5 linked regions of the Nothobranchius furzeri genome follow. The protein of the gene in region 4 interacts with the protein of the main gene of each other region in a pairwise test. Links are inferred from orthologs where the notes say so. Each region holds a gene or a part of one and is shown on either strand. Other genes may lie near its edges.

The links.
Region 1: the proteins of dctn2 (region 4) and kifc3 interact in binary tests that used the Homo sapiens proteins (3 or more experiments, as listed by UniProt). The two-hybrid records come from large-scale screens. The link is inferred for Nothobranchius furzeri from reciprocal best matches to the Homo sapiens genes DCTN2 and KIFC3.
Region 2: the proteins of dctn2 (region 4) and disc1 interact in a two-hybrid assay, tested with the Homo sapiens proteins (2 studies listed by BioGRID and IntAct). The link is inferred for Nothobranchius furzeri from reciprocal best matches to the Homo sapiens genes DCTN2 and DISC1.
Region 3: the proteins of dctn2 (region 4) and ccdc172 interact in binary tests that used the Homo sapiens proteins (3 or more experiments, as listed by UniProt). The two-hybrid records come from large-scale screens. The link is inferred for Nothobranchius furzeri from reciprocal best matches to the Homo sapiens genes DCTN2 and CCDC172.
Region 5: the proteins of dctn2 (region 4) and htt interact in binary tests that used the Homo sapiens proteins (3 or more experiments, as listed by UniProt). The link is inferred for Nothobranchius furzeri from reciprocal best matches to the Homo sapiens genes DCTN2 and HTT.

Annotation. Positions count from the first base shown.
Region 1 is NC_091749.1:65,947,228-65,953,487, forward strand, and holds the end of kifc3 (kinesin-like protein KIFC3), read left to right. Parts: intron 1-1,676; coding exon 1,677-1,906; intron 1,907-1,976; coding exon 1,977-2,120; intron 2,121-3,307; coding exon 3,308-3,437; intron 3,438-3,517; coding exon 3,518-3,678; intron 3,679-4,624; coding exon 4,625-4,633; coding exon of another isoform or gene 4,634-4,685; 3' UTR 4,686-5,017; downstream 5,018-6,260. UniProt on the Homo sapiens protein: Minus-end microtubule-dependent motor protein. Involved in apically targeted transport. Required for zonula adherens maintenance.
Region 2 is NC_091752.1:2,346,775-2,353,034, reverse strand, and holds part of disc1 (disrupted in schizophrenia 1 protein), read right to left. Parts: intron 5,472-6,260; coding exon 5,417-5,471; intron 4,004-5,416; coding exon 3,901-4,003; intron 3,725-3,900; coding exon 3,536-3,724; intron 1-3,535. UniProt on the Homo sapiens protein: Involved in the regulation of multiple aspects of embryonic and adult neurogenesis. Required for neural progenitor proliferation in the ventrical/subventrical zone during embryonic brain development and in the adult dentate gyrus of the hippocampus.
Region 3 is NC_091752.1:42,777,497-42,784,286, reverse strand, and holds the start of ccdc172 (coiled-coil domain-containing protein 172), read left to right. Parts: upstream 1-2,429; 5' UTR 2,430-2,547; coding exon 2,548-2,626; intron 2,627-2,740; coding exon 2,741-2,826; intron 2,827-4,353; coding exon 4,354-4,470; intron 4,471-6,790.
Region 4 is NC_091743.1:61,816,611-61,822,870, reverse strand, and holds part of dctn2 (dynactin subunit 2), read left to right. Parts: intron 1-2,148; coding exon 2,149-2,302; intron 2,303-2,500; coding exon 2,501-2,566; intron 2,567-2,771; coding exon 2,772-2,810; intron 2,811-2,940; coding exon 2,941-3,018; intron 3,019-3,734; coding exon 3,735-3,806; intron 3,807-5,260; coding exon 5,261-5,363; intron 5,364-6,211; coding exon 6,212-6,260. UniProt on the Homo sapiens protein: Part of the dynactin complex that activates the molecular motor dynein for ultra-processive transport along microtubules. In the dynactin soulder domain, binds the ACTR1A filament and acts as a molecular ruler to determine the length.
Region 5 is NC_091746.1:25,538,793-25,545,052, reverse strand, and holds part of htt (huntingtin), read right to left. Parts: intron 6,204-6,260; coding exon 6,061-6,203; intron 5,975-6,060; coding exon 5,746-5,974; intron 3,410-5,745; coding exon 3,268-3,409; intron 3,183-3,267; coding exon 3,003-3,182; intron 2,933-3,002; coding exon 2,756-2,932; intron 2,667-2,755; coding exon 2,590-2,666; intron 2,484-2,589; coding exon 2,348-2,483; intron 2,190-2,347; coding exon 2,067-2,189; intron 1,993-2,066; coding exon 1,785-1,992; intron 1,697-1,784; coding exon 1,551-1,696; intron 1-1,550.

The sequences.
Region 1 (6,260 bases), on a different chromosome or scaffold from region 4:
ATGGTCCTCAATGACAGCTCTTTGGCAAGCAACATCGGAGATATGATAAATGATAAATGACCCGCACTTGTGTAGCGCCTCTCAGAGTAAGGACTACAAAGCACTTTACACTACAGTGTATCATTCATCCATTCACACACACATTCATACGCTGGTGGTGATGAGCTACGATGTAGCCACAGCTGCCCTGGGGGCGCACTGACAGAGGCGAGGCTGCCGAGCACTGGCGCCACCGGACCCTCAGACCACCACCAGTAGGCAAGGTGGGTTAAGTGTCTTGCCCAAGGACACGACAGCAGAATTCTCTGTCCGGAGACGGGATCGAACCTGCAACCTTCCGATTACTGGACAACCCGCTCAACCTGTTGAGCTACTGATGCCCCTGCTGTAGATGTAGATCAGGGTATCCGCGGGTCCTTAAAAAGTCTTAAATTAGCTTTTCCAAATTTAAGGCCTTAAAAATCCTTAAAAATGACAAATAATCCTTAAATACAGTTTCCAAAGGTCTTAAATTACCAAAGACCCAATAAATAAGATTCTATTATTTCTGTCAAATTTTTCGTGAATTTCTAGTTAGTGTTCAGCATTTTTTGTGTATGATGTTGGCGTAAGCGGAACCGTACACATTCAGCTGGTTGTGAAAGGGGGCTATCTTTAGATGAGCACATTAGCTGGTTAAGCTAGTGGGAGCTCGCGCCATGGGGAAGTGCAAGTTTAATGGTAACTGGATGGTTAATCCCACGTTCGCAAAGTGGTTAGCACCGGTTCCAGGCAATAGCTGGAAATTATAGCTTAAATTTAATTTTAAAAATAGCTTAAATTTGGTCAAAGTGGCCTTAAAAAAGGTCTTAAAAAGTCTTAAATTTGACTCCCTTAAACCTGCAGATACCCTGGTAGATGCTGTAGTTCTGTTGCTGTTATCTGTCTGCGGCCGTTGATGCGGTTGATCACGACTGCAGAGCTGAGTGGAGATCTTAGGGCTAGCGTTGGAGTGGACTCGCTCATACCTTCATGCCAGGAGCTTTTGTGTGAGGATGGGTGAGGCGTCATCACCTTGGGTGGGCCTACAATGGGGCGTTCCGCAGGGCTCTGTCCTGGGCCTCCTTCTGTGTACCTTTGGGGATTCTCCTACATCAGCATGGTGTGAAATTCCATCTATATGCTGACAACTGTCAGATGTATCTCCTCCTTTGGCGGGGAACTGGTGGATCAATTTCTACGAAGGCCAATCTGTTTCAAAATGCACAAACTTTTACCTGTTGTGTGTGTTTGTACAACATGATGTGCAACATGACCATCAAACATGAAACACTTCTCAACCTTTTTTTTTTTTTTTTTTTTGACTGGGAGAACGTGTCGGGATTTGTGTGTTACACAGCACAGAGTTCTTAAAGTTGTGAAAGCAAACATGGCTGGAATCTCACAGTATTCACTCACGGTGGTGACAGAGGAGTCTAGTGCCCATCTTGGAACTGGAGGGTTGCTGGGTTGAGCCCCACTCTGTCTGTCACAGTCGTGTCTTTAAGCACCACCTGGTGGTGGTCAGAGGGACCGGTGGCGCCAGTGTTTGGCAGCCTCACATCCATCAGTGCGTCCTTTCATTTCTAAAGCCTTGTGAGATGAACTTGAATTAAAAGGTTTGGATGTGAGACCTGATTTCCTGTGTTCTGGTCTAGGAAAGCTTAACCTGGTGGATCTGGCAGGCTCTGAGCGGATCGGGAAGTCTGGAGCAGAGGGCAGTCGGCTCAGAGAGGCTCAGTGCATCAACAAGTCGCTTTCTGCTCTCGGTGATGTCATCAGCGCGCTACGAGGAAAATACTCCCACGTTCCCTTCAGGAACTCCCGCCTCACCTACCTGCTGCAGGACTCTCTGAGCGGTGACAGCAAAACTCTGATGATGGTCCAGGTGAGACCTGGTGAAGTCCAGAAACTAGTCTTTGTTCCTTCCTGCTGTCTCATGCCTGCCATTCCTGCAGGTTTCTCCGTTGCCTGGCAACATGAGTGAGTCGGTGTGCTCGCTGAAGTTTGCTCAGCGTGTTCGCAGCGTCGAGCTAAACTCTTCCTCTAGGCGGCACGAGAACTCGTCCACCTCTTCCTCACCCACTCACAACAGTGTGGAGGTAACTCTAAGCTCCGCCCAGCTGGTCAGGGCTGAGACGTTCACATTTTTTTGGTATCTTCAAAATAAAAGTAGACTAAACAGTGTGAAGTCTTATATTACAGTCAGATGCACGACGGTTTTAATAAATCTGCTGTAATGGAGCCATACGTGAGGCTCCTGGGCTGGACACTAACCCAGGTCTAGGAGGTGGCCAAGCTTGCTCTCCATCTACATTTTGATGCCTGTTGATAAGACCTTGTCGTAGAAGATTCAGTCCAAAATAGTGCTGAACAATTTTAAGAAAAGGATTAAATAGAGATTTTTTAGCTGCATGTTTATGCGATTTTGTCCTGCCGTTACCCAAATTCATGGCCTTGGGTGAAGGTTGGGATAAAGGTCGTCCAGTACCGTATTTTCCGGAGTATAAGTCGCACCAGCCATAAAATGTATAATGAGGAAGAAAAAAAAACATATATGTCGCATTTTGGGGGGAAATTTTATTATTTTTCTTACGAAATCTGAGACCAAGCGTTTCACATCGCAAGACAGGTACCGGTAACAATAACAGAATAAACAATCAGGGCGCAGCAGCGCGCCACGGTCTCCAGCAGAGGATGGCGGTGTTTCAAACCCTCCCAGCGGGGCAGGGGAGCTGAAACCTGGACCGGAGCCGGACCGGAGCAGCGCGGTATACACTGATGTATAGTATAAGTCGCAGGACCAGCCAGACTATGGAAAAAGTGTGACTTATAGTCCGGAAAATACGGTAAGTTAAGAGCCTGGCTGTTTGGCTCGGCTCCTCTTCACACCTACAGACGAGTTCAGCCTGTCCAATTCCCGTTTACTCAGTCGTGAACAAGACCCAGAGATACTTAAGCTCCTCCACTTGTGGTAGAGTCTCTTGTCCGACCTGAAGCTGGCCATTCACCCTTTTCCAACGAGACAAAGACCATGTTCATTATTGCTCTAAAGGGTTCCCGTTGACTGAAACTGCAGATGTGTATTTTCATCCCAAGAACCAGAGCAGGGTTAGGGAACAGGTTCCTGCTGCTCTTCTCTAATCTGTGAGTCTGGATTAGCCATCGTGTTTTCATTTAACTGAGGGCTACAGCCATTAACAACATTTACATTCATATAAAAATAAACTTTGGATATTTGATTCCCCGTCAGATCACTTGTGCTATTTGACCTCTGACCTCTCACCAGCTGGACTCTCCCCCTGTGACGCCGGTCCCCCTCCCCATTTCTAGGGCCAGCAGTGCTGGGTCCACACTGTCTTCCACCTCCAGAACTCCCAGCAGCTCCCGCAGGAGGTCCCAGTCCCAGCTGTCCACAGGTACACACACACACACACACACACACACATTCCCCTACACACACACACACAGACATAAAGGTTTACGCTTTGTTCCTCAGCAGCAGCAGTGCATTCTGGGAGACGAAGCTGTCCAGCTGATGGAGTCCCGCTGTCAGTCTGTCCATCTTCCTCTGTGTCCTCCTCATTCTGTGCTCTGATTGGTTGCTTTTCAGACAGACAGGTTGACGGAAGCAGCCCGTTGTTGGGGGACGGTGGGCAGGTAGGTGAGGGTCTGTGTGCTGATTGGACCGTTTGGCATGAACGCTCAGCATGGCATGCCCCGCCCGCCACCTCCCCTCGTGTTTGTGTGCCTGTAGGCCTGTGGCAGGGCCCACTGAACCCTTGGGTCCAGACGACCTCAGGTTCTGGCCCTTATGAGCGCTGAAACACCTGGAGGTTGTTTAGAGCTCATGTTGTTCCCCCTACCCTTCCCACCACCTGCTGAGGATTATGGGATGGTTGTTTTTATTTTAGCTCTTGGTCTTAAAACACACGAGCTGCAAATGTATTTATTGGTTACTATGGTAACAGTGCTCGTGTTGGCAGAAATTAGGAGGTTAAAGATGAACATGAGCTGCAGGTGGATTCACTTCCTGTTTGGTTAGGGTAAATACCAGCTGTACGCTGCAGGTTTGAGCCTAATGGCTTCCTGTAGCCGAGGGCGCTGCAGATGTTAGTTAAACCTGGACTGAAGGATCTGGCGGAACAACTGAGTCTGCGGTCTGGTTCAGCTGTGGTTCTGATTAATGTTCTCAAAACGTCCACTGGGCTGCTGATTTCAGCTCCGGGCTGGTCCTAGCCAGAGTTCTGGTGACTGTGCTTTAAGGATCTGTGTTCTTCATAGTTTTATCTGGGAATCCCTGGGCTGAGACATTAGATCCCCCCCCCCCCCCCCAACCTATCCTAGGCCCGGGACAGACCTGTTTGTCCCTCCTCCTCATGAGCAGGCCTGCTCCTGCCTCCAGACTCCTGACCAATCAGCAGACTGAACCTTCTCACCTGCTTTTAGTTCAGCGTTTTGTGTGAAAAGTTGAACCTGAAACAAGCTGCAAGATCAAACTGATCAGCTGATTTTGACCAGAACCCCCTGCTGGCTGTGATGTCATGTGTTTGGTCATGTGACTACAGCAAGTGGACGGACTGACTAAAGGTGTTTGTCTCTGCAGGACGTCTGAAGATGACGACTTGATGGATCCGGACCGGACCACGCCCAGAGGTCTCCACTGACTCCTCCCCTGGGTTAGCCCCGGTCCCTAAACCCAGAATAAAATCTACAGTATTTTTTTCTTTTTATAAAATTGCACTTTAAATGTTTTAATGGTTTTTCAGACTTGGACCCACATCTGGGCCAGATGTGGGTCCTGGTTCTGTTGATGTTCCTGGAGATTAAACATCTTTAGTTTTAATTTATGGAAATGGCTTCAACAGAGAATCAGAGGTTTTGTTTCCAGTAGCTGAACTCTTCTGTCCAATCAGACACAAGCAGCTGGACAACTGCAGGTGACCTTTGACCTCAGACACCTTTTGTATTTTGTTTTTAATAAATTCTCCAGAACCAAGCGGCTTAGTGTCATCAATGTTTCAGAACCTTTTAGGTTTTTATTAAATAGTTATCAATCCTCTGATTGGTCCAGAGCAGAACCAGGTCTTAAGTCCTGGTACCTGGTTCAGTAAAGCATGTGATCAAAGTCTGTGCTGGCAGCTGTTCTGGAGATGGGTCAGAACCAGAACCAACGGTTCATCAAATTCAGTCTGTTGGTTTTTAAGACGCGCGCCTCGGTTTGCAGCGAGTCCTCGTGGGTCTGGCTGGTCTCAATGTTGTAGCTTCTTCAACTTCTGTTTTAATTAAACGATAGAAAAGTTTGAGTCCAGCTGATCCACCCTGACCCAGTTCTGCTGGTTCCGGACGGCTCATCAGGGCGTTTCATCCAGCGGTGTCATGAGCAGCTGGAGCTCCTTGAAGGTGCTGCCATGGCGACCCACCTGGCACGCCTTGGTCTTTACGATGTTGCTCAGATTCTTCAGATGTTTGCTGCACTCGCGGCACTTAAGGGTTCTGCAACAAAAAACACAAAGTTCTACAACGTCTGACAGGAAGCACCGAACCCGGTCCGGCCGCTGCTCGCGGAAACTTGCCTCTCTTCTCGGCTGATGTCGACTCCGACGGCCGGCGCCGCCTTCAGGCTCTGGGAGATCAGAGTCCAGAAGTGTTTCATGATGAGCTTCAGAGACGTGGCACCGGTCTGCATGTAGCTGAGGAACAGAACCAGAGCTGGGTCAGCATCCTCCTGCTGATTAAAACCGTTCTGTTCTGACATCACATGATGAGCTCTGATTGGGTCTCACCTCTCATATTTACTCTGCAGCAGCTTGTCCATCTGAGGCAGGACAGACAGAACCAGGTCCAGTTTCCACAACGAGCTAAAAAAAAAATAAATAAACGAGGTCGCATGACTTCACTGTCACGATGACTCCTGTATAATGGGGTCAAAGGTCAAAGACCAGCTAGTGTCTGATTCTCACGGCTGCATGTTGATGATGTTGAGGATGTCCACCACGATGGACAGGTCATTCATTGAGACCGCCATGTCCAAAGCGTTCTACAGAGAAATTCAGGTGTAATCAAATTCCTCAAAGTAATCTGATTACTGACAGGTGCCTCACTAAGCTAGCTAGGCTGTGTCTAGTCTGCTGAGGTTCTGACCCGGTACAGCGGCCTCTGATCAGCCAAACGGTTCTGATAATGGGACAGAACTGGACCGGTCTCACCTTGATGTCCTCCCTGGCCCAGACCGACCGGAC
Region 2 (6,260 bases), on a different chromosome or scaffold from region 4:
AGGACACTGGGTTCTTTGTAGAGTTCCTTGAATTGCTTGTTTTGCACCAAGGTTTAGCTTAGCGCCGGACTTCAATAGTTCATTGTTATTGTGATATCGGTGCGTTCAGTATCAATACTGCAAACGACTGCTTGGACTCAAACAAACTCATGTTCTGAATTATAATAAGTCAGAAAGCGGTGAGAGAGGAGAAAGCAAAATGTAGATTTACTACAGGGATTCCCAAAGTGTGGTGCGCGCACCCCCGGGGGTGCGCGAGCTGCCGCTAGGGGGTGCGCGAGATGAAAAGTGTAATGGCTGCGGAGCTCAGAGAAGTCTGTCAGGTGTCACCATTAGCGTAGCCAGAAACTCATTTGTGGGTGGGCCAAAGAAAAAGTAAGTGGGCCCAATAAATGTAATTGAAAACAAGTATATTTTACTTGTGTGTGTGTGTGTGTCCTCCGCATGTGCCCTAGCTTCATAATAACAATGCGCCGAGCTTCAGCACTCTGGCCTGCGCACGCCGATATGTTCCGTATTTGATCATTTTAACGGTGTTGGAGGAATCTGAAGGTGGCGAGTCATTCTGGCAGATTGTAATTAACACCTGTCTCATGCAGGTGTTCTGACATTGTAAACCTCACACGCGCTGAAGATCTGAAGTTTAGAGTGCGTCTGTCAGAGGTCAGACGCGTTCCGGAACCACGGCTCACGGGTGCACAAGTGAGCACATCTGGGCTGGGCAGAAGTCATTTTACAACGTTGGTTTAAATAGCGCCAATAACGAGACACAGTGACTTAAACGCTGCAAGTTGTGAAGCGCGTTCCCTCCGCGAGACGCATCACCAAGCGGAAAGTGAATGCGTCAAGCATAAACCAAGCTTCGTGGAGCTGTGCTGCGCGCACACACACACACACACACACACACAGAGATTCAATAAGTGCACGCTGCGCAAACTCCGGCGCGCCAGACTGATACCGTCAGACTGAAGGCAGAAATGAGCGCTGCCTCCTCTGTGATAAAAACTTTTAAGAGGTTTTATATCAACATTTTTCATTCCAGGTCAAATTAAGATATTAGCTTCTATTTTGGGATGATGTATTAAAGTCGGGTCCGCTCCAGCCAGTGACTCCGAACCTGCAGCATGTTGTTCCAGTCCGCGTGGCAGCGGATCGCAGATTCAGCCACACCATAAAACAGCAATAAGTCGGTCTGAGGCAAAAGTGAACCTCATGGCTAAAGCTTTTCCCCTATAGACATTTGATTACGCACAAGTAGGTGATCAGCTCAGGTTTACGCAGAGCAGAAGGAAGGAGAGCGCTCTGGCCGCACAGATTAAACGTTCCTACTTTAAGAAAACCGTTAAATTGCATTGTTTATGTGCTACCTGGGCACTCTAAATATTTATTTAAAATTAAATCAAAGGAAATTGTAATGGTATCGAATGTTTATTAATTACTATTTAAAAAATGAAAGTGATGGGGAAAAAGGTCGATCATATTTTTTTTAACCCTGTCTGTTTAGCTTGACGTCTGATATCTATCTATCTATTTATCTATCTATCTATCTATCTATCTATCTATCTATCTATCTATCTATCTATCTATCTATCTATCTATCTATCTATCTATCTATCTATATATATATATATATATAGCCATGCCGTGATGTGTGTGTGTGTGGGGGGGGGGGGGGGTGCGTCGACATGGTCGGGACATAGAAGGGGGTGCGCGGCTAAATAAGTTTGGGAACCACTGATTTACTACAACTGATGCATAAATGATCACTTTTAGAAATGCATCTGAACAAACAGCAGATCTGCAACGAGGCGTGTGTTTATGACGTGGTCAACATGTGTATCTGCTAGAACTTTGCTGTGGAGATATAAAGAACAGGTCAGTGGAGTGATAATGGCGAGAGGGTTGGGTTTCCATCCTGAGTGACCCAGGATCGGTTGTTTTATTTGACACATTCAGGGTTCTCCTTAACCCTTATTACCTTATTTTCCGGACTATAAGCCGCTACTTTTCCCCCACGCTTTGAACCACGCGGCTTACCATGAGGTGCGGCTTTAGTCCACCAGAAAGGATGGATGCTGGAAAGTCTAATGAAGGAATGGTTAAAGGAGCGCTACGGAAAGCACCCAGGAGGGGTTTTTCACAGTAAAACGGCGCCGCTTGTTTTCCCAGCTTCACCCGGGATGATGACACGGACATCGCCACAGAAAAGGTGCGTGACGAAGCTCTTCTGAGGCTGCTCAACTCCGACACTGAAGAAGAAGATGACTTCAGTGGTTTCAGAGCGCAGGAGGACGATGAACAAACTAATCAGTAACTTTTCTGTTTTGTCTGATACTGATCAGTTCAGTTACGTTCAGTTAGACTACGTCTTCTATCCAGTAGATATCTGCGGCTTTAAGCCAGGTGCGGCTTATATTGAGGTGCGCTCTATAGTCCGGAAATTACGGTACAAATAGTTTTTTTAAATGATCGGTTACTCTGAATGTGAAAATAGTATTCCATCCCTGTTTCCTGCATTTCCTTCGAACAGAAAACACACGGTGAAACTCTAGAGTTAGTCAAGCCTGACAGATTCACGTCACACTGTCCTTGATCTCGACTCGCGACAGTTCAGCATCCAGGAAACAGCAGAGCACATTTTGACGAGTAGAAGCTAACCGTTAGCATTAGCACCACACAGCAGAACTCCTCCAGGCTTGTTTTATGTGTGGAGATAAAACATCAACGTTGCAGAGCAAATGGGGTCAGCGGTGGAGTGGCGTTGCTGTCAGCCAATCGCATGTCTACGTCGAGGTGTCCAAATATCGGGAAGTAAGAATCCAAATCATCATTTGAAGCTCAACTTTGATTTGGCTCACTTTTAGTTCCCGAAACAGGTGCACTGGAGGATTTTCTCTCCAGCGTGTGACACGAAACGTATAACTAGAGATCACTGCCAATGTTTTAAATAAGCGTGGAGGCAGTAGCGGCGGGGGTTTAGAGGAGCCACGCGGGATGCTTGAGCTGACAGAGCGACAAGTTTGGTCATTCTCCTTTTTTTGGTGGTGCAACAAGAAAGTGAAAATAAAAAAATGGACATGTTATTCTTCATATTTTTTATTAATTTTATAATTTTTGGGTAAAAAAATTCCGCCAATTGGAGAAACAAAAGGTTGCGTGGCTAGACTGCTTAAAACTAGAAAAAACATCATGTTAGATTTATTGGCTGGTTTTTAGCGTTCTAGCCAAGCAACTGCTGCTTACCTCATTAAATCAAAGTAAGCACGTATAATCTGTCGGCGTTGGTGTTGTAGTGGTGTTTTTACATCAAAACATTCAGGCAGTCCGCAGGGAATTCTCTGGGTGCTTGTTTGTTGTTAATAAAAGGTTTTCATCCTTGTATTGGTTTAAGTTGGGAAGGAAAGTAAAGCATAACAGTTTGCAGGCATCTAGTTAATGACCAGGTGAGCTCTTCACTATAGAAGTGTTGAATCACAGGAAAGAGCTGTTGATTTTATTAACATCCTGTTACCTGCAGGAGGCCTCAGAGACTCACCGTGCTGCGCCTCCCTCTGCTCCAGCTCCTGCCTGAGCTGCTGCCGCTGCTCCTTCATCCCGGCCAGCTCCTGGCTGCTCCCTGAGCTGAGGCTGTGCAGCCTCTTGGCCAAAGCCTCCAGCCGGTCCCGCTCCAGGTACACCGCCTTCATCTCAGCCTTCAGCTCCTTGGCGCTGCTGAAGTCATTACCTGCGCCGGTGCACCACAGGAGGGCATTACACTCTCACCGCCTATTAATGAGCTTCTTGAGCATTAATGGGGTAATCAAGCAAGGCTAATGGTGAGCGATTCGAGCAAATGGGGTAAATGAAAGGATGCGTAATGTAGCAGGGAGGTTTTGGAGGTAAAGCTCAGTGGAAAGTTACCAGAGATGGCTGCCAGTTTGGCTTCATGCAGCGCCAAAAGCTGCGTGTCGGTCTCGCTGACTTTTCTCCTCAGGCTGCTGCCCAGCCTCTGACTCATGACCACCTGGGGATAAAGAGGAGAAGAAGATGCAGAGGAGTGAGATGGGGAGGGTGGTAACTAGCAAAACCTTTGCACAGGCATGGATCCCACATGATGCACTGCTCATTTCCTCGTCTGCCTTCATTTTCTATCTGAAACTCATTCTTTGACGACCTTACAGGTTTATCTGCATTTCAGCGTCTGTTCTGCTCTGAATGCACAGCCGAGAATCATCTCTCCTCATCAAAAACCTCTAGAGATGACACAAAAGGCTTATTTTCATATAATATATGGACTATTAGAAAGTCAGAGCAGGTTTTTGGGATGAGAAGCTGCCGCTCAGAGCAGAATTTATGGAGTTTTTTTAAAGATCCGATCCATCCACTCTGCTCCTAAGCATACACACTTTTAGCTGCATTCACATAAAATCCTCGTTTCTTTTGAAGAATTGTTTTCACACCTCAAAGATACCTAGAAGTGGATCTTCTTATGCATTTATTCCTCTTCTGGAATCTGACACAGTTCTGCACATGGTTGTCAAATAGATTGGTATTTCACAGGCAGAACATCTCCAGGGAGGCTTTTTTTTCTCTTTCCTCCCACAGAAATAAAGCAAAACAGGCTTGAAATTTTTGACTTCATGCAAGAAGCTCTGTGGAGCACTTTCTGCCGTCTGTAGAAATTCTGACACCGACGATTTCATTTCCAAACATCAGGCTTTGTCAATTTTGCAAAAGCGGAGAGAATGAGAGTCACTTTCATGCCGGGAATCGTTCCGTCACAGCAAGTGTGCCGTTTTCCACATGGTGGGTATTTCATTTAAGAACCAAACTTTTCATTCCTAACATAACAATGGAAACTCTTGCGACTGGTGGAAGTGCGAACGTTGCTTTGAAGTGCAGCAAACCGGTGGTTTGATGATGGGTTTCTAAAGGACACGTGACCTCTCATACCTGCTGTTTGTAAACTGCAATTTCTTACACTTTTTTGCCTTTTTTTTTCCAGCTGCAGAAGCTTTATTAGCATAAAAGGGGAACGTCCAATCCCTGTGGAGCAAATGAGAGTAAACAAAAACACACCATACTGACCAGACTTCTATTTTTACTTTATTATGTACTTCCTCTACTCAAAAGAAAAAATCTGACAGCTTTATCTTTAACATCCCTATTTCACTTGGGAAAAAAAAGCTGTTCAAAATGGCACATCCTGCTGCTTCTGACTCCAGCACGCAGCGGTGAAGAGATCACTGCTTTGTCAAATCAAAAAAGATCACAAGAATGCAGACTGACATTTAGTTTGCATTTTGAGCACTCCGACAGTGGCACTTACTGTCTGCTCTGACTATTAGGCTTTCATACACATTCAGTCACTGTGGGCAAGCAGCGAGGAGGCTGAGCGGTTAAGGAAACAAATCAGGTGAGAGGAGCAGGGGCTTACTTTAGCTGTAGCTTCCTTGATGGACAGGTTTAACACCTGCTCCTCCTCCTGCAGTCTGCAAAACAGGCAGAAAATGTTCAAAACAGAAGAAATAATCATTAATTCATTAGAGTCAATCAAACAGTTGTTTAAAAGCAAGAGAAAATCAGAATCAGAATCAGAATAAGCTTTATTGCCAGCGCTCCAGCGACCCAGTGCATAGGAACTTGAGTCCGCAAACACAACCTGACCAAGGTTAAACAGACGCACATGTAGACAGAAACAGGTACAGGCAGTCACGAGAGCAGCCAGAATGGCGCTCATTTCATTAGATGGAAAGGGTGTTGCATGAGGATAATTGGGGTAAGGTAAAAAAAAAAGGCATAAAAGAGTTAGACCCAGCGGGGAGTAGCTCTATTATACAAAAAAAAACTCCTCAACATAGAAGCACGAACATCACAGTTACAAAACGTCAGAGTCCGATGGGGAGGCGGGGTTGGGCGGGATCCTGAATCCTCCAACGGGAGCTGCCATTATGGCGCTCAGTCAGCTGCAGTCAAACAGGTGGGAGGGAGGGATGAGGGACAGAGAGCACATTGAGTTTCCTGCAGGTTGCTGACCTCGAAGCAGAAGTCACAATCTGAAGGCGGGGGGGGGGGGGGAACGGTCGGGACACAGCATCTGTCAGCATTCCTCCTTTCGTGGGGGAGTGTTGAGCAGCCTTGAGAGGCTGCCTTGGCGTCAGATAAGGATAAACAAGACTTTGTTTAGGGCAGGCAGAGATCATTTTCCTCTCTGCCTTGGAGTCTATAAGGGGTCATTCATGTCCACCAGTGAAGCCAGTTATACGTTCTAAACATCCCCA
Region 3 (6,790 bases), on a different chromosome or scaffold from region 4:
GAATAATAAAACCATGTTTGATATTTTCAAATCTAATTCTGACTCCATTTGAACATTTTGATCAGTAACTTGAAGTCTAATATTATATAACCACAGGGACGATGCATCATGGACTTTCAGCCCATTGATCGCGCATAAAGCCTATTCAGAAGCTAATCCACTTCAAGGGACCTGTCAATGAGCCTCTCTGCATTAAACACTGGACCCAATCAATCATGAATGCTGGTGCCCAGCACGATAAATCAGTTCCCACACACACAGGAGGGCTGAAAGAGCAGGATGTATTCAGGGATGGGATGAAAATGGCCTGCTTGAATGTCAGATTCAATGAAAAGACACATTAGATACAAACCAATCATTCCTTCACCCTTCACTCAGTCATTTAAAAAATACTTTTAGTCAGCTGTTGTATTTTCACAGAGAACTTGAGTAAACGAGTGAGCGACAGACTCCTGCTCTTTGTGGGATAATAGTCTGGCTCCGATCTGATGAGTCTGCTGTTCTAAAGTCTCCAAGGGGAGCCTCTGCAGTCAGCGGAAGGCTGGTGATTTATGACAAGCCTCAATCAATATGTGATATTAATTTTGCAAATGAATGTCAGGATGATGTAGTCCTCGGGTCTTTTGACATCTCGTGCAGTAATGTTCTTCATGGCACCGGATCAGAAGCTCTCTCCATCCCAGTGTGTGTGTGTGTGTGTGTGTGTGTGTGTGTGGGGGGGGGGGGGTTATTGTGCCAACTACAAATTCTGTGACTAAGCAGATATAGCAAGGTGAAAGTAATAAATGTGAAAATATTTCATTTGTTCATCCGAGTCTTGTCCACGTTTGTGTTTCCTAATTGCAGACGCTAAAACACCCTCTTACGATAAGTCATAGCATTTCTTTATACATTATTCTCATCTGCCACTTTTTACACATGACTTTGCATTTTTCCTGCCGGTCGAAAAAAGAAAAGTGCACGGCCTCCACAACTCCAATTGTACGGGAGCCGATTTCTGCCACTGTGATAAAAGAAAATTGGCACGGGGCGATGGTGGCACAGGAGTTAAGTGCTCGTCCCGTAATCGGAAGGTTGCAGGTTCGAGCCCCGCTCAGTCTGTCGCTGTCGTTGTTTCCGTGGGCAAGACACTTAACCCACGTTGCCTGCTGGTGGTGGTCAGAGGGACTGGTGGCGCCAGTGCTCGGCAGCCTCGCCTCTGTCAGTGTGCCCCAGGGCAGCTGTGGCTACATTGTAGCTCAGCCCCACCAGTGTGTGAATGTGTGTGTGAATGGGTGAAGGACTGATTGTGTTGTAAAGCGCCTTGGGGGGTTCCAGGACTCTAGAAGGCGCTATATCAAATACAGGCCATTTACCATAATTATGAGATGCATCCTTATTCATAAGAGATAACCAAGTCATAATAACCAAATACTATTTATTTCACCAGAGTGGCATCAATGGGCTTCCATTTAGTCTCCAAAATGAGACATTTCATAATCTTTAAAAAGTTCTTAAAGGTTTAAGTAGTTATAAAACAATAAATATGTATGTTGCAGATATTCAGTTTCTCCTTGTCAAAAGATCATTTATACTTACTCAGAGGCTTTCATCTAATATCTACAATTTCAGACCTACACAAAAAGGTTCATGGTACCTAAATCTGCAACAAATTGACTAATTTATGTACAAAATATAATGTGAAGAAACACAGGTTTAAACAAGTATATTCATAATCTTTTAATTCTAAACAAGTAAACACATGATGCGTTTATTTTCAGTGTGATGTTAATAACGATTTAATTATGCATATTTCAGTAGCAGCAGCAGTAGTACTAGTAGTAGTTTTTCAGTGTTAGCAAATTGTTTTCAATGCATTTCTAAAATTTACATCATTTATGCTTTTTCCCTTTTTTGTCTCACAATAGTTATTTTGAGTGTGCCCTATGTATTTTTATAATAGCTTGTACTTTTTATGTTTCTTATAAAGTGTTGTAAGCTGAAAACTTTCTAAGGATAAGTTATGTCTAAGTTTGAATCAACAAGTCATGTGAATACCAGACATATATTCAATTTTAACAAGAATTGTTATTCATTTTGTTTTAACTATATGAAAACTAAATATTTCGGTAAAGTTATATTTTATGGTTGTATAGGATGTAACACATGACATGTAGAAATCAGATTGAGAACACATTCCCTGCTGTGCGTGTATTTTTTTTTCAGAAGAAATTTGTAAATTTCCTTCCATAAAAAGTCTAGAAATGACACTCAAATACATGTAGAAAGTGATCCATTCTTCTAGTTAAATGTTGCTTGTGACTTAAGCCTGGAAGTTTCATTGTTCCTTCTGTCTAAAAATATCCACATGAACAATCCAAATAGTCAGATTCTACCGATTATATGATAATCCTGCTTGCCACAATTTTGCTATAGAGGCGGAGATTAGCTTAGCTTCGTCTACTAGCATCACTAAATAACGTCTCTTAGCTCTAGTTAGCTATCGTGATTTAAAAACTCGTAGTAAAGGAGTTGTTTGATGTTCTTGGTGACATTCACTGAGTGAACATGAGTTTAGACTCACTTTATCGACAAATTCTTCTGAGTGAACATCAGCTGAGCGAGCGGGCGCAGAAATTGAAAGATGGTAGGATTTCAGCCCGTTAGCCTATCTCTCAGGGCTAATGTTAGCTACTGTTAATTGTCATCACATTTTGGTTCTTTCTGTAAAAAGTTATTAACCACTTTGCCTTGACTTCAGTCAAAGCAGCTATCGCGAGAAGCAACGAGAGGATCAACAACGAGAGAGCTAACTACCAGCAGACCAAAGAGCAGCTGGAGTTAAAGGTCTGGATTTATTATTCACCCATACTGCTCATGTTTGTTTTCATTTGAGCTTTGATAGAGTGGGTCATAAATGTCGTAGTAAGATTAATAAATTAGAGTTTATAGATTAATAAGTTAGAGTTTATTGATTTGTTTAAGTATTTATAGTAAAATATGTTTTAGGGATTTGTTTTTCTATTATCCAAAACCATTTTTTTATTTTAATCACAATTGTCAATTTTTTGCTCATTTTAAATATATTTTTAACCATTTTCTACATTTTTTATATTTTTACATTTTTTGCTTTTGTGAAGCACCTCGTGATTTCTATCTTGAGAGGCGCTACAGAAATGATATTTTCTTCTTCTTCTTCAGTCTGACCAGTCTTCTCTGGCCTCAACTAGACATTTTCATCCACACAGCTGCTGCTCACTGGATGCTTTCAGTTTGTCAGGCCTTAGAAGATGGTTGTGGGTTCAAATCCCAGTGGATCAGCCCAGTCTGGTACCAACAACAGCCATGCCTTCTCTCATTTCTTCTCCATTCTGATGCTCAGCAGCTTCAGCAGCTCTTATAGATGAATAAACGCTGTTAGCTGATTGGCTGATTAGATGTTGATGTGAACAGGTGTTCTTAATAAAGTGGAGGTGAGTTTTGGGTTTGAAAATGTTCCCAGCAGAGCAATCTAATAAAAGTTAACGTGCGTTGTGGAATCTAAAGATAAAGGCGGTGTTTTAACCTGCAGCAGTGTGACGTATTAACGACATGTACACAGGAGATAAAGAGGCTCTCATTGGCATCTTGATGAGCTGATTTGCTTTTTGATTTAAAACCGTCCATCCCCGCCATCCGTTTAATCAGCGATCGATACGGAGTGCTTCTGTAAAATCAATGGCTAATTTCCACCGGATAACATTAGTGAACCCCCTCCAGCATGTGTGAGATATGATGTTTGACCCCGCAGAAATATTACTATTCCTTCTGTTGTTAGAGTGGTGAAAAGAGCCGAATGCTGGCTTTAATTAAAACAAGCTGCTGAATCTTCAGAAACACCATCAGCCTCTGCATTATCTGCACTAAAACAGCCAGCGGGAGGCTCCCTGCTCCTCCCGAGGAAGGAATATTGATATTGTTTACATCTCTCAGATATACATGTTGTGTTTACGCCATTGCGCGTTTACAGCTCTGCGGTGGGAAGCCTTCTGCTTTTCAGAACTTTAATTACACTGTTTAGAGAACTTAGATGCTCATTTTGCCTTCCGCTCTTCCTCCACCACGTGGGAACCAATAAACTCTGCTATCCTAAAGCAGAAACACCTGAGGCCAGACTTTACCTTCTCTTATCACGTGGTACTCCTCTTTCTTCAGGAAGATATTACTGTATAATTACACAGCAGCAAGGACTGAGCCAAATTTTGGAAGGAAGACCTGAGTCTGTTAGAACGAGTGTGAAAACTTGATGCTGCAGATTAAGTCTTTGTGAATCTGTCCTCTCATTAATGTGTCTGAACATGTTTCCGACGTTCCGGCCATCTGTTTGTGCTCCAGGCTCAGCAGTCGTCCACCATGAGGCTGCAGTGTGATCTGATGAAGAAAAGTGAGGAGCAGATGTTGAAACAAATCGAGGAACTGCTTTGTCAGAAGAACCACCTCAGGGAACATCTAGTGAGCTTTAATTTACATCTCAGATCACAACATTTCTCCACCCTGAGCCTAGAAACAGACCTGTTTTCAGCGGAGACCAGGTGTGACTCGACCTGTTGATAACTTTTAAGTGTTTACCATGAAAGCGAAAGAAACCACATTTCCTGTGCTGAGGTATCATCAGAAAACAGACAACGGCTCTCCATGTTTCAATTCACCACAGATTCCTGCAGATTCTTTTCACAACTAAACAGAAACTTCTCTGGTTTTTGGGACCAACGCTCTTTCATGTTGTTCACCAGCATCTCAAGCTGCTGGTGAACAGTCAAAAACTTCCTAGTATACATATATATATACATATATATATATATATATATATATATATATATATATATATATATATATATATATATATATATATATATATATATATATATCGCAATAAGCGGAGACGATATGATATGTTGTGGTACTAAAAGTTAAATAAAAGACTGAGTTCAACTGAAAAACTCAGGCCAGATGCCTCCAAGACACATCCAGTGTTAGTTCTGTCAGAATGAAGGTAGTAAAAGCTGCTGCCCCCTAGCAGTCGGGGTTTGAATTTCACCACTTAAAAGAAAAACAGTAAATGACTGGATAAAATTTCTCAATGACAAATCGATTCACTTCTAATGAAAATTAATTCTGTATCATAACACGAAATATCACAATATTTTACTGTATTTATGTATTTATTACATCCCTATTCAAATTGATTCTTGATTTTCTTTAAATCAAGCTTTCTTGTACACGTTCATCACAAGTCAAACACTACCAGCTATTACCCTAATAAGAAAAGGATGAAAAGAAAAGGTAGAAATAGCTTTCAAATGCATTTATTGACAAGAAATGTGCTTGCAGAGTAGGGATGTAAGGAAATGTCAAAATGTTGTGATGTTTCAAGTAGGGCTGCTACAAACAATTATTTCAATAGTCAACAAATCTTCAGTTATTTGGGCGATTAGCCGACTAATCGTGTCATGCATAAGTATAGCTTAATGCAGCAGGACACAGCTGCTCTAGCATACCCATCATTAGCTTCTAGTTTGAAGTGTGATCTGTTACGTGGGTCTCAATCTGTCACCAACATATTCAAAATGGCCTCGGTCAGAAGGTTTGGTTTGTAACAAACTCATCCACTGAAGAGGAGCGGGTTTTTAACATTGTAGCAGGATGCAATAAACCATTAGTGTTTGTCACCTCAGAGCAAATACGTGACCCAGGTGTGCTAAAGGTAATGAAATTGCAATCACTACTATTGTTGCTACTGCCATAAACACAAGTACCTCCCAGCTAACGAGATGTAATTAGCTTACAGAGGCGACCGCCCCGCTTCATTCTCCGCCACGACGGGCTTCCTTTTAACGTGTTAATGCATCACTGTTACACTCCCGTGAAAGGAGAGTTCTACTTCGCAGCTTTTGCACTCTACGTGCTTCTCTTTTGTCTTTGTAAAATTCTTCCAAACATTTGAGCTGCGTTTTCGGCTCGCCTGGATGGTCACTACTGCACGTGTGCCCGAAGCAGAGCGGTAGAAAGCAGTAGTGGTGCCGCAGCAGGCAGATTAAAAATTAAACAACACTTGTAGTAAATTATGTTGACTATTGAATTTGTTGGTGACTATTTTGTTTGTCGACGTCATCGTGGCAAATCGACTAATAGTGACAGCACTAATTTCATGTCATGATACTAAATTGATATTTAAAACCAGCGTATTGATTTTTTTTGTTGGATATTTACATGCTAACATACATAGTAGTTAGGGCTGCACAGTATATCGCAAATATATCGTTATCACGATATTAGCATTTGCAATATGCATAGTGCATTGAACAGATAAATATTGCATTAAATGGTCAGCTCAAATGGTTGATACACATAATGCATTCTGTCAAACTGAAGTATAATGTTTTTTTAACAAATCAAATAGAGCTCTTCATCCTTTTGGCCAATTGGGTGGGTCCTCATAGGTTAGATGCCCGGCCCCGAGGCAGACAGTACTTAATTTTGATGGTTAGCAAACACCTTAGTTAGCTTTGTTCTTCTCTTTCTGCTGATTCTGCTTTACCCGGGATCCACTGATTGCCTTTTCTTGTTCATTTTCTTTTTCCCTTTCCTCACATCTTTTGCTGTTCTTAGTCTTATGATTTTTTTGTTGCCATTTTAAAAATGTCTTTGTTTTTGATTATTTTTGTTCCTGAGTAGTTTTTATTTATCGCAAGTAATATCGTTATCGCAATATTAATCACTGTTATCGCATATTGCAGGCTTTCCTAATATCGTGCAGCCCTAATAGTTCTTT
Region 4 (6,260 bases):
CTAACATCTCCACCAAATACCGAAGACCCGGAACAAAGTCCGTCCACTACTAGATTCCTTTCCTGTTTTGCCCGCCTTCGTCCCCCGGCAACGGACAACTTCCAGGGTCAGATGCGCTGCTCCGTCTCTATCGCAGATGTAGAACATCACCGGGAGCGTTTCTCCCTTCATAAAGGAGCTTCTTCAGACGTTACGAGAGCTGTTTTTGTTGTAGCAGTCTCTCCTCCGTGCTGGTCTGTTTGCTGCTGGGTATTTTTGGTTTATTTAAACTTGGTAACTTGAACTAAAGCTACTGTTAGCATCTTCGCTAACAGCTTCTTGCGTTTGGATAAGCTGTTATGTTTTGGTTTGGAGTTAATCTTTTTTGTGGTGCAGATCTCTCTTTTATTACATTTAGAGTGTTGTGGGTTTTCGGTTTAGTTTAAAATATCACCTTGAGTTTGGTTTAACCTCCCAGTTTAGAGTTTGGACCTTTGGAGATCCTTATTTTGGTCCGGAACTCCATAATCTTTGCCCAGCGGGACATCCCTACTTTTTTGTACTTTTGTTTTAATTCCCCACAGGCAGAATTAGTTTTATTATTCCCAACCTGTGGATGGAAAGATTTATGTTTTTTTGTAGTTGTAAATAAACCTGATCATCATTTTAACTTTTAAATCCCTTCCTTTTTGTACACGAGCCAAACTCCCCAGGAAGAGTCGTAACACCACTGGCCTCACACACATAAGTGACCAAAACAAAGCAGCATGGAGACAGTCCGTCTCCAACCACCTCTCAGGCAGCAGCCTGCACTCCCAAGTTCTACATGACACCAGAACATAAACAACCGCAACACAATAAAAGCAGTGTTATACAAAATGGAAGGCCTGTAGCGTTTATTCTCGTACAGTACCAATTGATCACATTTTTTGAGGAATTTATTTGAGATTTTCTGTTTTTTATTACTTGTGCAATAGAAAAATACTAATAATTAGATTAATCGTCTAAATAGTCATTAGAATAGTCGACTATTCGAAAAAATAACTGTCAGAATTATCGTTTTAAAACTAATCGTTTACCCCCAGCCCTAGCTCTGTGTAGGCCACGCTCCAAATGAAGAGTAGATCTAGCATTGGCCCGAACAATTTTGTTTCTAGTCAATCACAGTGCTCTACATTTGCAGAGGGGCATATAGCGGGCTTAGCACCAGAGCTACAATGGACGAAAATGAAAACGTGTGCTCAAGAACGGCGCTCGTTTGAATCAACTTTGGACGATTTAGACTTGGCTTTTCTCTGAGAGATGAGCATATAGAGGTACTGGGTCCTTTATTTCAAAAAGGATGTATTTGTGTTTTCTTCTTTGACGATCTATTGCCGAGTGCCCCTTTGACTGGTTTCCATAGTGATGAATGTCAAGTTGCTCATTGCTCTCACTGGTCCCAGTGCTGTCCAATTGCGTCTGAAGACTGTTTGAAAAACAACCACAGAATCCGCCCCACGACGGGGGTCGTGGCTAAACTAGATGTTTACATAAATGGGATGGCTCGCCGGGGTAATGTCACCAAAATTAGCTGCAGGAAGGAAATAAACAGAAAAACGGTCTGTCAGAAAAAGCTATGTTGCAGGGCTGTGTTGGTTTAGCGGCCATGAGACACCAGAGTGGGCAAGTGGAAGCTAACCATTAGCATTAGCAACTCCACAACATGGCCGAACTCCTTCAGGCTTGTGTTATTTGTGGAGATTAAAACATCAACACTGAATTTTTTTTTACCCACGAAAGATGAGCAAACGGAGGTAGCAGAAGAGTTGTGTTGATGTTAGCCAATCAGAGACCAGATGTAAGCACATTATGAATATTAACGAGCAAGACTCAAAATGTCATTTTCAGCAAAAGAGCTGGGAAACATGCCAGCACTCGGCTTGGGACAAACCAGAAGAGGGCTAGAGTGATGGAATAGAAGCATTCTACACTGACTCAGAAAATAAAAGAGCACTAACATGTTTTATTTTATTTTTTCTTTTAAAGCAGCTCATTCTCTCCGGTTTGTAGTTGGGACACTGTTCTTAGACTAAGATGAAGACCGACTCCAGACAACGCATAAGGCTGATGACTATGTTGAGCGTTCTGTATAATTATTTTGTTTCCTCCTCTCTCTCCTTCCTGCAGGCGTCTGCTCACCCAGCTGGAGGTGGCTAAGGGCAGCCGTGGCAGCTCTGCAGGAGACTCCAAAGCCACTTCTGCAACAAAAGGTCCAGATGGAGTGGTGCTCTACGAGCTGCACAGCAGACCGGAGCAGGAAAAATTCAACGAGTCTGCCAAGGTGATGTGGAGGTGGAGATAGCAGAGCCTGTTTGGATGAATAAATGTAGTCATTTCAGCTGCCCAGTGTGGGTTTTTCTGTTCCTCGTGAGTCGATGTCAGAATAATTCATGACGATAAACAGGATAGGAAATAAGAAGCAAAGTGCGAGCCTTGTGGGATGCTGTGTTCACCGAGTCTGCCTGTTCCTTCCCTGTAGATGGCAGTGCTGGAGAAGCGTCTGGCTCAGTTGGAAATGGCTGTTGGCTCAGGATCAGACAAGCAGGTACACACCGAGCTGCTCGCAGTGCCTACACACTTCCTCCGAAATGCTTGTCACAGTTCCTCCCTACAATATCCGTTTCTCTGCTTTCAAACCACAAACCTTTTGGGTCTTTTTCCACAAAGTGAACGTGAAATAAAGTTGATTGTTTTACGGAAAGGCTTCATTTTGCTGTGGTGAATTTATTTTCCCCTTGTTTATATTGTAGGGACCACTGAATGCTGGTGTGCAGGGAGGCAGTTTGATGGTGAGAAACTTTTTTTTTGATGAAGTAAACTCTGTTCTACAAGAAAACTGGGTTAGACGTTGAAGACGTCACCCGATGTAGAAACAGATTTGAGGCTTATTTATGTAACGTGTGCTTATCTTCGTTTCAGGACACCATTGAGCTCCTGCAGGCAAGAGTCAGCGCCCTGGATTCTGCTACTCTGGATCAAGTGGAGGCGAGACTGCAGGTGACCACTCCCAACAGAGCACGCAGCCATGAGATTGTAGAAACTGTTCTCGTTTCTCCTTGCATCATTTGTTGTTTCACTTAAAACTTAATGATTAGAATTGGTCACTCATGCAGGCTGAACATGAAAATAGTCTCCTACACCCTACATCTCCTGTTTTAGCTTCTGATAGAAAATAGACAGTGAAACGCTAGGATTTAAAAGGCCTGACAGATCTACGTCACACTGTTGCGTAACATTCACACACTCAAGGCAGAGAAATATTTTTCTTCCATTGTCAAACATCTATTTGATCATTTTTGCTCAACAGAGATCAGACGGAGGTGTTGAAAGACACGAGTCCTCTAACGTACGCAGCTCTCAGTCTGCTGTGGCTCCATGAAAATTATTCTCATCACATTTAAGACTCATATTGTTATATTGTTTCACCAGCTGTAGTCTGTTGACTGCTACGAGAGGATAGCAGACTACATTCCTCTATCTGCACGTTGCAGCCCACATTTCTGTAGTAAATGACCTCCCAGCTGCGTTTTGCTCGCTAAAAACGTTGCGTTTGGATAAACATTTGGATCGGATCTACAAATAATGTTGACGGTGAATGCTCCCTACATGGGTGTCGATGTTAACCCGGAGCCATCACTTATGTTTTCTTTCTTTACCCGCCGGCCTGAAAACGATGCCTTTTATGTCATTTATCCTTCTCTCTTCTCTTCTAGAGCGTCCTTGGGAAGATGAATGAGATTGCTAAGCACAAGGCAGCGATTGAAGATGCTGAAACACAGAACAAGGTTGGTAATCTAGCATGAATCCGTGGTAAGTAAATGTTTGGTTAATAAAAAATGACTTGTGGAGCTGTCGGTGTGTCTTTTTGAAAAGAATCACCAAATCTGTGACATCTTTTATTGCAAAGCATCTACATCTCTATTGATTCAGAAAAGGTTTCCTCTTCTAGACTGTTACATGAAACCGCCCAGTAGGGAGCAGCCTATGTTCCCAGAATCCCACCCTGATTTCCTGTTAGTAAACTGGTCTAGTTTTTACATTCCCAAATGATTGTAACATTCAAAGAAGAGTCACAGGCACGTTCTGGAAGTCTCTAACATGAGACTGGAGAGTCATTTTTAACGCAGGGACGTTGTTTGTGGCCATAAAATGAAATGGCAAACTGTAATTTAACAGCTGCTTAAACTTTCTGTTTTGTTCATCCTGCCGTTTAGACTGAGTGAACAGATGTAGAAAGCACATAACATTTAACTCTCAGGCAGCCTGAGCAGCATGTCCTGCATAGAAATTGTTTAATAATTTTTTTTTTCTAAAATAAAGAAAACCTGAAATGCCCAAAGTCATTTGAAATGTATACAGTTAAACAGGAGTGGAGCAAACGGAGCAGAAGCTGTTCCCAGGCGTATGACCGTGACCCCAAAGGCCCTCTGTGGGGGAGACGTGGGGACTAAAGGGTGGATGGCCCTCTGGTAAGGGGGCCATCCACCCAGATAACTACTAAAAACCTCATTCTAACCTAAACATTCAGCTTTTCATGAGTTAAATAGAAAATAAACCAGTAAAAGGTTCCTCTGTGTGAGTGTTGCTGAGCTCAGCCTGGCTTGATCACACATTACTCTTCTACACCATTTTAATGTTTGGGTTTGAGGAAACTTGGATACTTTTCTAGTTCTTACACCACATATGACCCTAATTAGGTTGGAAATAATAATGGAAGGAAGTCTTCACATGATGATGCTCCATTTAGTCCAGTAGCACATATTCGCATGAACCAGTTACATTTATCATTGAACAGGAAGACTAACAGGCACAAGTTAGTCTAAACAAGCATCAATTATGCACAATGCAGTCTGCATGAGACGACAAACAAAACTAAACAGGATAACACCATTTAAACATAAAATATAATGGAACTTACTACTTCACTCATAGAACACACACAGGATAATAATAAAGGTACGTATCTGTCGTATTTCAGCAGATATCAGCGTAGAAACACAGCCAGAGTGAGCACTAGTTCCAGCAATGATGCATTCAGGGACATTCAGACATACAGCAGTTTGCATAAAGGCTTTTGTACAGGATTGATTCTGAATCTTTAAAAACAAGAATCGTGATTCAGACATGAATTGTTTGTTTTAAAGGCATCTGTGGCATACCACACAGGTGCATCTCATTCTTTTAACACGAATAAATCTGATTGTTTCTACATTTGTGCTTCTGTACTTCTACCCGTCAGGTGTCACAGCTGTATGACGTGGTGCAGAAGTGGGATGCCGTGTCCACTTCCATACCTCAGGTGGTGCAGAGGCTTGTTGCTGTGAAGGAACTGCATGAGCAAGGTAAGACGCATCAGATGAATCCATCTGTCCATTGTCGGTACCTGCTTGTCCATGCAGGGTAGTGGGGGGCTGGCGCCCATCTCCAGCGGTCTCTGGGCTAGCGGGTGGGGTACACCCTGGACAGGTTACCAGTCCGTCGCAGGTCAGCATCAGATAATTAATTGAGTCGAGTTGCTTTAGCTGTAGTTCTTTTATTTCATGAGGAAGAAAAAAATCGTTAACTGAGAGAGAAAAAAAATAACCTTGAAATGACGCCCATGAGGGTTCAAGGGGAGCATGTATGTAGGATAGTGGGGGAGGAGTTGGGGTAGTTTCGATTCCCCACAGATCAAAACAGGGAGTGAACTCTGATCACGTTTCAGGCTGCATCTGATATGTCCTGGTTTGAAGGATTTGCATCCACTGTGGAAATTTCTGTGTGAAACAAAAGATTAAAACAAAGAGGAAATGAGATTCAAAGAGATAATGGAGTCTTACCAAACCATGTCTGTCAAAAAATAATAACAGAGCAGAAAAATCAGAACAGAATGAAACCAAATCTTTACCAACATTTAAAAGAATTGCTTTCGGAGAGATGGAGATGTCTGATTCTTGATATCACATTTTTATTATTTAGCTCATAAAAGCATAACTTTATCAATAGATTATTTTGAGGATGATTTTCTGGGAGCAGAATGAGGTCCTTTATCATTCTGCTCGTCTCTGCAACGATCCGTCACAGTTTGAAGCAAAAGTTTTCTTCTCTCTGGTGAATTTAGACAAACAGTTTTCTCCTCTACCAAAGATGGAAGTACTTTTCAGCCATCATTTATTTAATGCTGGAATTAAACGTTTCATCCATTTGACAGCCATGCAGTTTGGCCAGCTGCTGACTCACCTGGACACGACTCAGCAGAT
Region 5 (6,260 bases), on a different chromosome or scaffold from region 4:
TCCAGGTCTTCGGTATTTGGTGGAGATGTTAGTGAAGGCGGAGAAGAGGGCGAACTAGAGGAAAAACTCCTGGGGATGCAACAAGTGGGCGATAAGCGTCGACTACCGGATCTGACGTCGACAAATTTTTAGAATCGAGCCGTCATCGATGCGTCGCTATAGCTCTAGCTGGTACCATATGATGTCACAATGTCATGAGCTTGTGTGTGTGTGTGTATTTGTTAGCGGCACCGCCCTTTCGGTCAGCTAGGCAACAGCATTTGTTGCATTTTTCAAACAGGAAGTGGGAGCGGAGTAATACTCAGGTAGGGGGTGACTTGCGCTTTAAAATTGAATTAGTTCTAGAATCCATCATTATTATTTAAAGGAAAACGTTTGAATCTGGGCCAGATGTTTGGGCCTGAAGACGGGTTTCAGTCGTCGGGTTCATTCTGTGATGCTGGACTACTGAGAGAGTTTAAAAGAGAGAGAAAAGTGAAAATGCTCACGCCCGTCTGAGAAAAGTGTAGAAAGTTGGTCCTGAGGGCTTTTCCAGCCTTGTTCACATCTAGTTCCATCCATCACAGTAAATATTAGTGAAACTGTCATGTCATTGTTTGTCAAATAAATTCTTACTTTCATTAAACCTGACTTTTCTGAATCAAAACAAAGTGTTTACAATCCCCTAATAAACAAAGAATCCTAGAATCTTCTGATTAAAACACAGTAAAGACCAGGCAGGGTGATATTCTATGTTTACATAGAGTACCACAGCTTATTGGTCATAAGTAGAGGTAATATATAGAGCTCTTAAAGCACTCAATTTCTCAAACCCTACAACTGCCAATGATGATTTTTTTTTACTGTGTGGGCGTCGGACGAGCCCCCACACCGTGAGAACAAACATCTCAGCTCTAAAGCCGATCTTCATCCGCGTACGTCATACGTCACGTGATCAGGAAGCAGAACGTCCACGTGTTAGGAGATCGTTTTGGGCCGCTGCTGTAAAAAAAGTGAGGTGCGAACCGGAAAAGCCTCTGCCGATCACAATTCAACAACGGATCATGAAAGAACGGATAACGCTCGAAACACGCGCATTCTTCCTGATGTAAGAGGTGAGTCTCCGCTTTGTTTTGGTAGTTTTGGCATCGACATCATGCTAGCGCGCGTTCTGTGACTCTTAAAAAAAAACCAGTAAAAACGGTGAGAAACGCTGGCAGTGAATGAGTTCATGAGGGACGACTGTTTGTGAAAGTTTGTTACATTTTGAATTCTGACTAAGATTCAACTGTTTTATCACACCCGTCGGGCTAATAAACACAGTTAGCGTGGAAATGTGGAAGTTAGAAAAATAAAAGCTGAAAAAGTGGAATTTGGGAATAAATAGAGGGTGTGATCAGGTCCTGGAGCAATAATGATGTTACTTGTTACGGCGTCCGGTTCATCGCCACACCAGAACGCTCAGAAACATCGTGATAAATGTTTTGGACCATCTCGCCCACAGCCGTAAACCCGTCTCATTAGCGAATCACCACTGTGTGCTACTGGCGGCCCGACCCCAGCCGGTTTACCTCAGCAGCCGTGCAGGTGAACGTGGTGATGAGCTGCTCCTTATCGGGGGGGATCTGCAACGATGGCGGCAGCTGGCCGACGCCCAGCAGGTACTGGGACAACGCTCGGCAGAGCGACAGAACCTTGGGATAAAAACTTGGATCATCTGGAAACAAAAGGATAAAAAAGGAAATTCCCGTTTCTTCTTTCCTTCATTCGTCTTGAGTCTTATTGCTCCGCCTCCTCACTCTCACCGTACACGCCACCCAGATGGTTCCAGTAAGGCTGCGGTTCCGGCGGTGGCAGGAAAGGCTGGTGTGGAACAGGAAGTGACCCCGTGACCTCTGCTAGTTGCTCAAGGGTCACCTGCAAGGCCGTGTCCAACAGGAGTGACCCCTGACCCCGCGTTAACCTCTGCAAGCCCACGCTCAGGCTCGGACACAACAGGCTCGGGTTGAAATCCTGCGTTCAGTAAGAATCATTACAAACAAAACTAAGCACCAGGAAGTGTTCCGATCCGCCCGTTTCCACGTCACCTTGCAGCTCATGGTGCTCAGGAGGTCCGGAGGAGGTAGTTTGGTCAGAAGTTCGGTCGTCTCCAAAAGACAAACGTCTCCGCGGAGACAGCACTGGGACTTCACAAGGGCCACGTACCATTCCTAAATAAAATCACAACAGCAGCCCAGTTTGACTGTTCTCATTCCAAAGTGAAAAATACAAAGCTGCAGTTTTCCTCTTTTCCCAGGATCACGGTTCCCTGGATGCTCCACAACTCATTCTGCAGATTTGTTGCTCCGTCCAGAATCTGAATCCTCACCTTGTCAGCCACGATCTTTTCCGGGGCGGGGGGTGGCTCCCCGTCTAAGGGGTGTGGTGTAACTGGAGGGGCGGGGCTAGCGGTGTCGGTCACAGTGGCTCTGAACCTGTCCAGCAGGGAGTAGAACCTCTGATGCCTGGCGGAGACGGGCAGAAGACAACATATTCTGTCATTTTTGAGTTTGAGCACAAAAATAATCAGCAGAGACGCTCTGATCCAGAACCGACGTTCTGGGAGGATACCTCTGGGCCAAACCGCTGGTCTGGAGATATTCCTGGATTCTTTCCAGCTCCTCCACAGGAAGCTGGGCGACGCTGTTCTAAAGGATCAACGCTGACTTTCAGTTTCACTGGTGGGATGCATTCCAGACCACTAGCACAATCCATCAGACAACCTGGTGAGCCTTACCTGCAGCGTCTCCGCCAGCAGCATCTCGACTCGGCGACACGCCAGCGTGTCGACCATGCGAGCTAGAACCCTGAAGGGAGTCCTGAGCAGCTTGTCCACATAGAGCATGAGCAGAGATCCGGACTGACTCAGGTGGATGCCTTCCAGACACTGCAGCGTCTTCTTTAACATGGTGGGCTGCACACACACACACATCAGTGAAGGACTCTGGGACGACAGGGAGGTAAGGAGTTAAAAGTCGCCATACCGTGGCGAGGTTGTCGCAGCGGGACTGGATGGCCTGGATGAAGAGGCCGCTGGCGGCTGAGTTTCGGTGAACAGCGCTGATGAAATCCTGGACAGGGGGCTCGTGGGAAAGGCTGATGAGGTCACGGACGTGGTTGACAATCAGCCAGGTCAGATGCTCCGAGTCGTGGAGGTTCTGACACTAAAAGTAAAAGACTTCATGTTAAAGTTGCTTCATCTTCATCCTGGCGGGAAAATCGAATCTCCTCCACACGTGTAAGTCTCACCACGTAATCACAGAAGAGAATTAAGGCTCCTCTGCGTACGATCTCCCGGTTGACCATGGCTAACTGGGACTCTGGGTTTTCTTCTTCCTCTTCCCCTGAGGAGTGAGGACTCAGCAGCTTTGTGGAGGACAGGCTGTGTCCCCTGGCAGGAAGTAGAAGACAAAAGCAGCCATTTTTAAAACATTAATAAGAAACACCAGGGGTGTTTCTCAATGTCAAGGCGCCTGGCCTTGCGAGGCGATGTCTCGCGAGGCCAGGCGCCTTGCTTACGAGGACACGGTCCTTCCTTGCAGGGTATATACAGCAATCCTTAAGTAAAATTTACTACTTTTTAATACTTTTTTTTACTACCTTCAGAATTTTTTTAAAACCATCACAACACTAAATTGCAAGTGTTAATCAGCGACCTATTTACACATATTTTAACATATATAACATACAAAAAGCATAGACTTAGAGACTCACTGATGTTGACAACGTATTGCGCATATTTATTTTACTTAGAAAATATGCCAGGCACTTCTTTTCAGCGGTTCAGACAGTTGACCACGGGGCCTGAAATGATGCAGAACGACCACTGAATATGACGTCATCATAATGTGACCGGATATGCTAAAGCAGGGCTGCTCAATTATGGCAAAAACAATAATCACGATTATTGTGACTGAAATTGAGATCTCGATTATTTAAGACGATTTTTCAATTTATGTAGATTTTTTAAATTTATTTTTATTCAGTCATAAAACTGCTCAGGGCACAATCAGGGCAAAAATAAACAAGAAACAAGATGATCACTAAAAGAACTCCTGATTCCCAGTATAAAAAGACCAATATACTTATAGCTCATAGTTTATGACCCAAGGGCTATAGACCTTGGTTTAACTCATTTAAGTCTAACCAGTACAGACCCAAATACCAATATCTTGCAAATACTGACAGCAAGAATTATACAGTGGCATTTATAACAAATAAATGCAAATAAATTAATGTTCACAAAATGTTGCATAACATTTATTTAGTCATGTCAAGGTGCTGTAGGAGAATACACCAGCACAGTGTCCTCAGAGAGATTAGTTATTAGTTATCAGCGTGAGGAACTTATTTCTACCTTATTTATAAACTATTTATTTACAAGTCCATCAGTTAATGTAATAATTGTCCCAACCACAGCTGCACCCCCCACCGCCCAACCCGGTCTCACAGCAATCGGGGCAAGCTGCACGTGTGTTTAGCGCGCCGCACGCGCACACTTAGCCGTTTTTATCGGCTCAGGAGTCCGCAGGTACGGTGTGTGTCACTCACTCTGGTTACTCCAACAAGGAGCCGGCTCCGAGAGCCGTTTCTTTAGCGACTGACACATCACTACATCATTCCCTTTCCTAATGTCCTGAAGAACGGTCCGGAGCGCAGGCGGAGTGTTTAGCTAACCTGCAGCAGGAAATGTCGACGATAGTTATCCAGAAAGTAGCTAAGGGTTACCAGAGATGTTTCTGAGGTGTTCGCTAGGTACTTTTAAGATTTAAAAAGTCAAGAAGGGGGTCTGAAAAGCTGTTGGAAATAGCATCAAAGTCGCTAAGTTGGCAACGGAGCGCTTCATTTGTAACTCAGGGCAGCTCAAGTGGGAGGAGCAAATAATCGGCTTGTTTTATTTTTATAATCGTTCAAAACATTTCATTCGGAATATATTTCTATGTCGATGTTCAGAATACGACACCTGATAGTCTGAAAAAAATAATACCTAACTTGGAAAAAATAATACCTCTGAGACCAAATTTAACACTTTTAATGGCCTTAAATTTGACTATTTTTATTTATCACTTTTTAATACTTTTTAAAACCCCGCGGACACCCTGCCTTGGTCAAAGAAAACGGTTAAATGGAACAGACTAGCATCACATGACCACGGCTTCCACGGCGGTCACGCAACGTCACGTGACACGGGAGATAACGTTATATTTTATACGTATTAGTTTCAATATAAATATATAACGAGCCTTTTACTTTTTAAGTTGTGTATATGTTTATTTAATTAAATATATAAGCGAGTTACTACCTGCTAGCCACCGAAGCTGCAACTACTAAGCAACTAACCAACCATAGATAACTTCTTTGGATCTAAAAAAACATTTTAAATTAGTTGACTCACTTTTAAACTTGAAGATTGTCCCCGAAGTAGCTGCCGGCTTCTGATCCGCCATCTTTTTGAAAATACTGCGGTGTATTGTGGGTAATTTTTGACCAAGGCTAGGCTACAAGACACCTCCCGTGTATCCTCGCTCAGCTAGCTAAACGGCTAACAAACTGAAAACACACGCCTCGGTAGAACATGGACATTGGAACACGTCTTGGCGGCTCTCAATGACGTATCTCCTAGGCAACCGGGGCGGGGCCAAGACATCAAGGCAAGGTTCCTCGGCATTGAGAAACACCCCAGGATTAAAAACCCTAAGCCTTTTCCTCTGGACCCCGAGTCGGTACCTGGGTGTCTGGTTAACTTCAGCCCACCACGAGTAGTTGGTGTAGTTGATTATGAGGAGAACCTGACACCACAGCAGCACCAGAGACGGGTGGGTGGTGACGAGGGACTGCACCATGCTGTTGAGTCCTTCTAACTGATAGAAGAGACCAGCTTCGGCACTCGTCTGTCCACCGGAGCCCTCGCCCTTCAGGAGACGGCCGGCTGCAGCGGTGATGCGGCGAAACATTCCTGAGAGGAAAAACACATTTCGCACCGATGACTTTAAAAATCAAAGTCACGTTTCTTATAGCTAGTCTGACACAACAGGAGCTCACCGCTTTTGAAGACGTGGATGAGACACATGAGCAGCGTGCCCAGCTGCTGGCAGTAGAAGGTGTGCTGCTGCTCACCGATGTCCACTTTAACACGCCTGCTGGAGATGTCCTCCAGCAGCACGCCGACCAGCTGGAGGAGGAACCTGGAGGGATAAGGCAGGCGAAAGGAAAAGCAGAAATTAGGCGAGAAAAACTACAGT